3 linked regions of the Kluyveromyces lactis genome follow. The protein of the gene in region 2 interacts with the protein of the main gene of each other region in a pairwise test. Links are inferred from orthologs where the notes say so. Each region holds a gene or a part of one and is shown on either strand. Other genes may lie near its edges.

Region 1 (3,758 bases), on a different chromosome or scaffold from region 2:
AAGATATTACTCTTACACGGCAACTGCACTCTCAATCACACTCACCTAGGACGCCCTAACGAGAGAAAACTGTGTTTCTTTCATAGTCCAGCGTTTGTTTTTGGTTAGTTTCATTATTTATAATTTGACTTATATACAAATTTTGGTATCAATAAGGAATCTCAACACATACATAAATGTGGTATGTACATATGCTAAACACTTCTCCAGAAGTACAATTCAGGCGTCTTAAGCCATTTGCAAGTTTGACAACAGAAGACTAACTTACACAAAGTGTGCAGCCAGGAATTGCAGATCTTTGGGGAAACATTATTCTCTCTTATTAACAGTGTAACGCGTAAAACTGGAATACGATTTTCTTATTATTTCATTTTAAAGTCTTTAGTGGGTAGTTCATATATTTTGACTTTGTTGGCCTGCAGCAATTGATTTTTGCTGCTGCTGTGCGGCAGCATGCGCCGCACGTATTTCAGCCTCGTAATTCAGTGGTCTCTTAAATAGTAAAATATGTGGTTCAGGCGCATGGCATTCGTAATGTTCCCATCCCAGAGATTGTGTAATTCCTAACCCTCTCCATTCGTCTTCTGTTAAGATTCGCAAAGTACCAGTGTCTCCGTTGAAATAATCAGAAGGTATCACTTTTAGCATGGCCTTGGGAAGCATTACATGTCTGTATTCGTGTGTATCGTCGGAGTATCTTGGTGAATAATGAATGCTATCTTGAAATTCGAGAACTCTCGTTCTTTCCTGATCAGAAAGCTTTCTGCCTTGGAAAGCGTGCGTCGAATACATTGTTAGATTCGATCACAACTTAAGCTATACAATTGGAGTGTTAATTAACCCTAGACTACTGATGCTGGATCTTATTCGCTCATCACATATCATGTCTTTAGCATAACTGAAAAGATCTTAGGTATTAAAATAGTATTGTTTACAAAAAAAAAATGAAAATAAATATTGTTTAGGACAGAAACCAGATCCGTCACTATTGATGGTCAGAGATGAGGTAAAAGAATAGGACACAGAGCTATCACTGGTGTAGTGTCTACCATAATTACGGTATAGCTGAAGAAGGGTTTACCAATAAACGTTTGACTGTTGTTGTGAAACTGTTCTGCGTGCTGCGTTTGTGTGTTTGTATGTGCTGAAATGGCAAGTCGAAGTAATGTTTTCGTCGGGATCAAACCTCACAGTGAACATTCCGCTGATGTTCTTGGAACTTCTTCTACAGATAAAAGAGTAGAGAATTATGACTATGTGCTGCTGCCCTTGACAAATACCAGATACAAGGATGCCATGAAGGCCAAGTTTGAAGATTTTCGAGATCACGGTCATGGATGGAATGAAGAACTAAAGTTAGATCCTCCTCAATTGCAAGAGCTGGGGGTATTGCCATCTAATGGAAATGTTTCATATATTGGATTGGTCTCTTACTTTTTAGAGCTCGAGAGCCATGATGCTGATGTCCGGACTTTATCTTTGCAAGTGTTGGAGCACGAATTGCATTATGCAAATTTCGTTGGAATCAGACAGGTTATCTTAGCTCCTCCTAAAAAGTTACACACGCTTCATTACTACGCACAATCTTTGTGTACAGTATTTGATACTTTTAAAGAAGCGTGTCCGACAATATCTATTTCGTTACCTTTGTTTGAAGATTCAGATCCACTTTCGACTTGGGAACTGTGGAACACGATCAGGAAAATGTGCGGATACGAGCCTAAATTGACTGTATCTCTAGCTCTACCTAGACAGAAGACTCCCAGTTTTGTGCTAAACAGATGGCTGAGCGAACCTGTCACATGTCTTTTGATCTCTGCATCCATATTCACAACAAATCAATACAATTACCCTGTATTGAATAAATTTAATCAGCATTTAATCACTGAGTTCCAACGTGTTAACGGTAACGCATCAACATTTGGCGAACTAGCTATCGTTTTACATGGTATGGAGAAATACACGGATAAACTCAAAATTGAACCTACACAGTACCTAGAATACCTCAATTATTTATTGAAAAAGGGAGATAAGCTCATACTAATGGAGACCCAAGATGTTGTCCACAGTGCACCTACAATCATGCCTCCGCTACTACCCCATCATGATAATCTTTCGAATGCAGTTTACCAAGTTTTCGAAAAGGATACTGTCAAGTACGAATTATACGAGAGGGCTATCATGGTCGCTGTATCTGAAATTTTGACAGAAAATTCGTCCAGTTGGAGAGGCCCTACAGAACTTATCACATTAGTTGCAGGTGCAGGCAGGGGTCCATTGGTGGATAAGACATTCCAAGTGTTACATAAACTTGGAGTAACCAACTTCAGGCTATTGGCTATCGAAAAAAACCCACAAGCACTTCTCTATTTACAGAAACGCAACTTTGAACACTGGGACAACAAAGTTGAAGTTATCCGTACTGACATCCGAGAATGGGATGAAAATATTAAAGTCGATCTCTGCATCAGTGAACTTTTGGGGTCTTTCGGCTGTAACGAGTTATCTCCCGAATGTATTGCTCCAATAGAAGCTTTCCATTCAAAACCTAACACAAGGTTTATTCCTCAAGGATATAGTTCCTATGCGTCTCCTATATCATCTCCAATTTTATACCAAAGCCTCATTGAAAAAGGACCAGAATATCTCGAAAAACCTTCAATAATTCACAATGTTCCATATTGCCGTACATCATCCAGAGTAAATGAAATATGGTCATTCTCACATTTGCATCAACAACAGCATCAATTTAACAAAAGTTCAATATCCCACTTTCGAGTAAAGCATAAAAGTGAAATTCATGGTATTGCTGGATACTTTATTGCAACATTATACGGAGATATAACCTTGAGCATAGTTCCAAATGACTCTGTCATTAAAACTTTAGAAGATCAGGAAAATTCTAACATAGATAACTCCAGAAGCCATAACGGATCAACTGCCACTAAAGTGAATCATACGGAAAATATGAAATCATGGTCACCAATGTTTTTCCCCTTGAAGGAACCCTTGTTCTTAAATGATGACACTGAACTTGAAGTATTCATTACTAGAAATGACTTAAATAGCAGAGTTTGGTACGAATGGTCTGTATCATCATTTGTATACCTTGTGTCAAGTTCGGAAATACCAAAATCCGAAGGAGAAAGAGTACCCAGAACTGGATCGAAAGAAAATGCTGATATAGATACTCAGAACCTGACTAAAGCCTTCGCACGATTCGGTCCTCAGAATGACTCCTCAGAAATAGAAGACAAGTATTTTGAAGACTCAATCAATCATACCAATTTCATGTCAGGTAGAACAAATGAATGGGATAGTGTAAAAGACCTGCATGAGATACAAAATAGACATGATTCATCTAATCTAACTAAAGATCAAGAACAACGGAAAAAATCACTAACAGAAGAATATCATGTCAGAGTTAGGACTAATATTTCCAAATTGCATAATCCCAATGGATGCATATATTCGATTCCTCTATAAACAAGGCATTTATAAAAATCGAAGCAAACTTTAACCATTTAGTTTAAATCCGCATATCAATAAATTATTTACTTAATGTTCACCAAGGATTTTCTGTAAGTTTCATTTCATTAGAGGTCCAAACTGCATGTGCAGCGGGTTTTGGTTCGTCCATGTCTTCAAAGGCATTAGATGACACCTCAAACTGATTATCAATTTTGATCTGGTCATGAATTTCGTCTATTTCATCTTGTATCGCAATTGGTAAAATCGGCAAAAATCTATAACTGGAC
Region 2 (3,719 bases):
CCCAGATGGGAACATCTCGGCAGACCATTGCCTACCTAGCGTTATGACATGCGCCAATTACTTGAAACTACCAAAATACTCTGATAAACTGGTACTCAAAGATCGTATTGCACAAGCAATGACTGAAGGTTCCGGAGCCTTCCTATTGTCATAGAATATGTATATAACTACATAGAGATGTCTGTAGATCTAACCATACTCCACCCTAACTAAAGATTTCAATACCACATACTTTCGTGACATGTGACAGGATTTACTCTTTGGGATTGGCGAAAATGTTGAAACTGAAATTTAAAGCTTAAGAGTTTAAACAAACGGAATGTAAAGATCAGATGGTATGCATGTTTATAAGCAGATTAGAGAAACGAGCAAGCTCAATTGTTGCTTTAACTGTGGCTTGTGTTAGAACTAGGTTTTAAATTTTATTAATCAGGCTATCTCTGCCGATTTGACAAGTATTTCAGAGAGTAATACCAGGTAATACCATCTTCTTTTGGATCTTTTTAATAACAAGCACACATTATTTGTTTGTTTTGGCGAGAGTGTGATTTTAGCAATCAAAAGACGTTCGTTACACTGAATTACACAACAGGCTCTCGTTTTTAAGTTAGAAGGAGGTGAAGGTAGAAAGAATTTTACAGAGCACGTTTTGTCATTTCTTTCATTGTTTATCTGACTTGATCTTCTATTCTTTGAACAAAGTAATCTAGCTTTTTTTCTGACAGAAATTAACACGGCCACAGCAGGCTTTGTTACTGACGGTTGTATGCTCTAGAAATCATTACAGACCTGTTTGTGTTTTTCGGAATACCTTTCCTTTTTGTTCGGTCGATAGAATTAACCACAAGACATCTTTTGACACAGGCCTTTTTTTTTTGATAGAAGCTACTACACTCACTACTTTGTCTCCATATAATGACGGATACTGGATATACTGAAGAATTGTTACCAGGCACATTTGATGCGCTTTCCGTGAGAGAAAATGGTGGCAATACAGAAAGTGACACCAGTAGCATACGCAAAAGTCAAAATCAAGATTCAAAACAAGAGGATGTACATCGTGAAAATCTTTCAGTACAAACTCTAGAGGATCATACAGAAGTAACGGAGACTAGGGAACAATCTGTCTCAAAAGATCTCTTTGATTTACCTCGTGCACCAGCGAGTTTGGATGTGAAAGGATTACAAGAATCAGACGAAGATCATTACGTCAAAGACCTTTCAGATTATAAATCTATGGATCCAGGGAAACCGGGCACCGTACCAACAAATGTTTCGGAAATTTTTAATAGTAACCAGCCAACTTTGGATGAACCGATACAATTTACAAGAGTCTCTTCCAGTTCTGTGTTAAGTGAAAGTATATCGGAAGGTGATGCAGATTTAATATCGCATCTAGAAGGAAAAGTGGAAGAAGGAAATAATTTGACTTCGAAGGAGACGCCAGGGACAATTGAATCTATTGTTGGAGATAAGACGATGTCAACTATAGAAGGTTCCTCCCAAAATATAGGTAGAATATCTACTGGCGGGAGGATGACACCTGATCTCTCTCTTATGGGCGGGGCCCTGGAAACTTCTTCTGACTTCCTAAATTCCACACAAACCTCAAATTCTCCAAAGATTACAACACCTATAACTGAAGTTGATGCCAATGATGTATATGAGTCCCCGCTAAATGAGATATTATCATCTACAGATAGTTTCAACAAGGCATCGACAGCGTCTGCAGATCATTCGAAACACGTAAGTGTGCATGAAGTAATACCTGAAGAAGAACCACATCCAGAAACAACAAATGAGGATCCTCCAATTAAAACTCCCGTAATGGTGAATAACTTTTTCGAAAATCAAACACCAGTATCAGAATCAAGATCCCCCTTCAGAACCATTTCTTCTCCGTTTTCTTCTCTGAGGAAAAACGTTAAGAGTCAGCATGGGACGCCTGACCACTCCCAGAGGAATTCTAATTCCTCCACCTCCTCTAATGATGTTAAGAGGAAGACCGGTACTAAGAAGAAAGGTGTTTTCTCAACATTCGTTCAAAACATCAAGAGGAACTCACACTCAGAGAAAAGAATTTCTAGCGGAAGCGGTAATGGAAGTGGAAATAATGCATTTAAGATCTCTACTCCTTATAATGCTAAGCATGTTTATCATGTAGGTGTTGACTCCAAAACAGGGGAATATACAGGGTTACCAAATGAATGGGAGAAACTTTTAACTTCCAGTGGCATTAGTATGAAAGAACAACAGCAACATCCCCAGGCTGTGATGGATATTGTAAAATTCTACCAAGATGTTACTGAAAACTCTGGAGAAGAGAAAGTCTTCAAGACTTTCAAAGTAGGAGGTGGCTCTGGTGCAAACATTGCATCTACACCTTCTTTCAGAACCCCATCAACTGCATCAGTACAGAAGTTCGAAACTCCGCAAATGCAAACAGATGCAACTTTTCCGAATGAAAACAATGATACCCCATACTCTAGTAACTTACAGGGTCCGCTGCTCACTAACGATTTCAGTGAAACTGTGAACAACGAAAAGTTCATACCGACTCGGCCTGCTCCAAAACCTCAAGGTTCCTCCACAGTTAGCCGTAGGGTCGAAATCCCTTCACCAATCAATTCGCTTGGCCATGGAACACCAAAAGTGCAAAGAAGTGATACTCAGTCATCAAGCATTTTCTCATTCAAGAAGATGCCAACATTGAAAAGTGAGCAACCATTACCTCCTATTCCAAAGGCTGCAGAAAAACCAGCAAATTTATTGCCTGCAAGAGCGGCTCCTACTCCACCAAAACCTGCAATTCCTACAACACCGGAACAATCCTCAATACCTGCAATTCCTTCCGGGCTTGCTGTGGAAGTGAAAGAGGAATCGAATACTTCTAATGTCCAGACAAGAAAGGCCCAGGAAAAAAAGAGGGAAGAGAGGAAAAGAAAGAATCAACAAATTCAATCAAAATTAACCGAGATTTGCACAACAGGAGACCCAAGCAAACTGTACAAGAATCTGATCAAAATCGGACAAGGTGCATCAGGAGGAGTTTACACAGCGTATGAATTGGGCACAAATGCTTCAGTAGCAATAAAACAGATGAATTTGGAGAAACAACCCAAGAAAGAGTTAATTGTGAATGAAATTCTGGTCATGAAAGGAAGCAAACACAACAACATTGTTAATTTCATTGATTCATACCTATTTAGAGGTGATTTATGGGTTGTCATGGAATACATGGAAGGTGGTTCGTTGACTGATGTCGTTACGCACTGTATATTGACTGAAGGGCAAATCGGTGCCGTCTCTAGAGAAACACTCAAGGGTTTACAGTTTTTGCATTCAAAGGGAGTCATTCATAGAGATATTAAATCAGACAATATTTTGCTATCCATGAACGGAGACATCAAACTAACAGATTTCGGTTTTTGTGCTCAGATTAACGAGGTAAATTTGAAGAGAACGACGATGGTTGGTACTCCGTACTGGATGGCCCCAGAAGTCGTATCAAGAAAAGAATATGGACCAAAGGTTGATATTTGGTCTCTTGGTATTATGATCATTGAAATGATAGAAGGTGAACCACCATATCTGAATGAGACACCACTAAGAGCTCTATATTTGATCGCTACCAATGGTACGCCAAAGCTAAAGGATCCTGGAAATTTAAGTCATAAAATGGCTATGTTCTTAAATTGGTGTTTAATGGTTGATCCAGA
Region 3 (3,758 bases), on a different chromosome or scaffold from region 2:
AACGATGATTTGGCTAGGAACTTAAGTACTTACATTAACTCTTACGAGAAAGGTGGTATCAAGACGTCAGAAATCAAATCCACCATTGTCAAGAAAACTGTGGTTGTTGATTCGCCAGATGTTTTGATTCTTCACTTGTCGCGTTCGGTTTTCGACGGGATGGGATATCAAAAGAACACCTGCAATGTTTCTTTCGAAGAAGAATTGGTAGTCAACCGCCAAGTTATTGAAAACAATAAATGTGTTGGCATCAGAAAGGATTCATATAAGTTAAGGTCGATGTTGAGGCATCAAGGTTCTCATTCTACCGGTCACTATGAATGTTTCAGACACAAACCAGAGTTTATGAAAGACATTGATACACATCAAGTCATTAGCAAGACACCAATGGTGGACTTCGGTATTGCGTCGAATAAACTTGCAGCTGAAATCTGGAATCAGGCCGTTCTGAACTCCTCTAACAAATCCGATTCTTGTTCAATCGGCTCGGAAGATTCAATCTCCTCTAACGTGCCATTCAGATCTGTTTTCCTGGACTCACCAAACTCTGCGATTGTTACTGATGATGATTACGTTATTGGAAGCTCAGAGTTCTCTAACGACGCAGATAATAAGGGCCAAAACAACAACAGTGGTTCTGGAGTTTCAAGGACGCCATCCACTTTGAAAAGAGTCACTGGTTTCCTTTCGAGAAAGAGTTCTGTCTCGGCAGCACCGGATAATAACAATACTAGCAATATACTACCTGAAATTAGCAGTTCACCCATGGCTTCATCATCTTCAGAACATAGAAACCGCGCAAGATTTAACAGTGTCTCTTCTATGACGACTGACCGCAACGCTTCGATATTATCTAGTAATGCTAGTATCGACTCTTACAGTACAGATCAAGTTACTAATACAAGTGCTACCGAAGTGGAAACTGAAACAGATTATGACGGTATTTCAATGAATGTCAACAAGAAGACAAAGAAAAGAAGATTAAAGAAATTGAAAAGTGTGGTGAAATACCCATGGTGGAGAATATCTGATACTAAAGTTAAAGAATATAAAACTTCAGATATTTTATCAGAAACTAAATTCGTTTATATGTTGTACTATGAGAGGGTACCAGTAGTCTAACCTGGTCAGTAAGCAAATACTGGAACCAACATAACAACAACCAAAAGAATAAGAAAAAATAGAAACATAGACATATTTTACTAAATTGCACAAGCGGCACCTCACCGCTCCGAATCATTCATCCTTTGTCAATTAACTCATCGATTTATGATGACCACAGGCCATGTATTACTCGATTAATTAGTTTTAGCACTTTTACGTTAACCTTATATACATATACTGTACGATCTTTAAATTTCAGATCATGTGACCTCTAAAACCCTTCTAGAATGAAATTCTTCCTTTCCTTCTGCGGGTTGATGAAGCGAGATGAAAAAGGATTGACATGAATAAAGAGACGAGTTTCAGGAATTCATAATAACAGAGTTGATAGACGAAAGCTGCAACACAAAGGCAAAGGCAGTCAATAGTGGGAAAATGTTGAAGGTATGTAATAATGCGCGTGGTATTGTCTTATGTTTGGCAATTTTGACGTAGTAGCGGAGGATTTCTGACTTTGTTAGAGGCTGGAAAATTTTTCTTTACTGAAAGAAGGTAACCACATGAATATTGCAACGTGAAGGCAAAATACTAACATATACTATGATCATTGGTTGGTGATTAAATTGAACCAATTATCTAATTTCTGGAAATTTTTGGAATAGAATTTCAAATTGAAGAAAGACAGTGTGAAACAGCGCATAACTTCTGCGGATATTTCCGGACCTACTCAAAGTCCAGGGAGCTCAGTGCAAAACGTAAAGACCATTCCTATCAGGCAATTATCTACATCATCACAGCTATCTTCGGGGTTTACAAGTGGAAAATCAAAAGATATCTCGTCTCCAGAAAAAGTAATCAAAGCGTTATACAATTACCAGGCACAATCAGCCGGTGAATTATCATTCAATAAGGGAGACTTTTTCCATGTTCAGCAAGAGGAGAACGATTGGTATGAGGCCTCCAATCCGGCGGACGGCAAGAGAGGCATGGTTCCTAAGAATTATTTCGAGATTTTTGGCAGAACAAGGCCAAATTCGCATGCATCACCGGTGAAAAGTATAAATAGAAATGGATCTGTCGGTAGTAATCAGTTATTACAGCATCATCAGCAGCAACAGCAGCAACAGCAGCAACAACAACCTTCCAATATGGGAACTCTTTATGCAATTGTACTGTATGATTTTCAAGCAGAAAAGGCAGATGAGTTAACAGCCTATGCCGGAGAAAACTTGTTCATTTGTGCTCATCACGATTTTGAATGGTTTATCGCTAAGCCCATTGGCAGGTTGGGTGGTCCCGGTCTAGTTCCTGTTGGTTTTGTGACTATTATAGATATAGCTACTGGTTATGCCACGGGAAATGATGTAAAAAGCGATATCGAATCAGTGAATCTACCCTCGGTCCAAGAATGGAAGATCAATATCGCCCGTTACAAGGCTAGCAATATCACACTAGGTTCAGTGGAACAGCAGGGTCAGTCGTACGTGCAACACCGATCACAATCCAGGCAAAATTCACAAAACCGTCAACCACACCCCAGCACGCAGCACTCGAGCGCTGCCAATACAACCTATCCTGCTGATGCCGTTTTCCTTACCTACGCTGCAGTCGAGACATTTTTCCTACAGGACGATAAGTATTGGTTCCAAGTCTCGTGTCAGTTATCCAACAACACCACGCGTATTTTGAAGCGTTATTATGAAGATTTCTATGATTTACAAGTAAAGCTACTCGATATCTTCCCTGCAGAAGGGGGTAAACTAAGAGACACTAATGGTCAGTGGACGAAACGTATAATGCCATATATACCGGGTCCAGTTCCGTATGTGACAGATACCATTTCAAAAAAGAGAAAAGATGACCTAAATATATACGTGAAGGATTTGATTTCCCTACCGCCGCATATATCACAATCACATCTGGTCAAGGGTTTGTTTGCCGTTAAAAATAATGGTTTTGACCGTGAGATTAGTAATGATGAAACTGTGGAGCTTGACGTAAAAGGTAGGGCTGATGATTCAACTCTGACTAACCAAGAACTACAACTTCCAGAGGCAATGAAGAGACTGTCTCTGATTAATAGCGCTTCCAATGCCAGTGCTAAAGTCAAATCAAGGCCGCCTAGTGGTTTCGCTCCGAGAATAACTGATGAAAAGCCTGTCAAGATCAAATTTTATTACAAAGATGACATATTCGCCTTGATGCTGCATCCTACCATTACTTTTGAAGAATTGTGCAGTAAAATAGCACCTAGAATTGACGCAGATTCTTTTAAGTTGTACATCAAAAACGGAGATGATATTGGCACTCAAGTCACTACTGATGCAGAAGTACCGGTTCTAATTCAAGAGAAACGCAAGATCTTTGTCGATGACAGCTAAGTTATTTGTTGCAAAATTTTATCGTCATAATAAATAATACAAAAAGAACCCCAAGGTGGTCAAAATTCAATTTCTATCCACTGATGGCTTTCATGCTTATCATAATGATGTACTGTACATCGCATTGTAATACTTCAACATAATTTTGACATTAACACTCTTATATTCTTTCACATTAATTCAGTTCAACAAGTAAAAATCAGTTGTTTACATACTCTCTCTATAGGTGTTAATACTTCTATCAAAATGATAATAATACTTCACAAACATGTC

What was found.
Region 1: the proteins of STE20 (region 2) and HSL7 interact in a two-hybrid assay, tested with the Schizosaccharomyces pombe proteins (2 studies listed by BioGRID). The link is inferred for Kluyveromyces lactis from reciprocal best matches to the Schizosaccharomyces pombe genes shk1 and skb1.
Region 3: the proteins of STE20 (region 2) and BEM1 interact in a two-hybrid assay, tested with the Schizosaccharomyces pombe proteins (2 studies listed by BioGRID). The link is inferred for Kluyveromyces lactis from reciprocal best matches to the Schizosaccharomyces pombe genes shk1 and scd2.

The regions. Positions count from the first base shown.
Region 1 is NC_006039.1:1,374,759-1,378,516, forward strand, and holds HSL7 (protein arginine N-methyltransferase), read left to right. Parts: upstream 1-1,149; coding exon 1,150-3,486; downstream 3,487-3,758. Other genes in the region: cyclin-dependent protein kinase regulatory subunit CKS1, read right to left, coding at 394-792; KLLA0_C15851g (uncharacterized protein), read right to left, coding at 3,566-3,758. UniProt on the Schizosaccharomyces pombe protein: S-adenosyl-L-methionine-dependent protein-arginine N-methyltransferase that can catalyze both the mono- and symmetric (type II) dimethylation of the guanidino nitrogens of arginine residues in target proteins.
Region 2 is NC_006038.1:1,190,677-1,194,395, forward strand, and holds the start of STE20 (mitogen-activated protein kinase kinase kinase kinase STE20), read left to right. Parts: upstream 1-915; coding exon 916-3,719. Other genes in the region: putative ubiquitin-protein ligase UFD4, read left to right, coding at 1-154. UniProt on the Schizosaccharomyces pombe protein: MAP4K component of the MAPK pathway required for the mating pheromone response. Phosphorylates histone H2B to form H2BS10ph. Phosphorylates tea1. Required for skb1-dependent mitotic inhibitory function. Regulates microtubule dynamics and cell polarity.
Region 3 is NC_006041.1:2,076,769-2,080,526, reverse strand, and holds BEM1 (phosphatidylinositol-3-phosphate-binding protein BEM1), read left to right. Parts: upstream 1-1,539; coding exon 1,540-1,548; intron 1,549-1,766; coding exon 1,767-3,485; downstream 3,486-3,758. Other genes in the region: putative ubiquitin-specific protease UBP16, read left to right, coding at 1-1,122. UniProt on the Schizosaccharomyces pombe protein: Required for mating and morphogenesis. Interacts directly with scd1 and with cdc42. May bridge and facilitate scd1 and cdc42 interactions.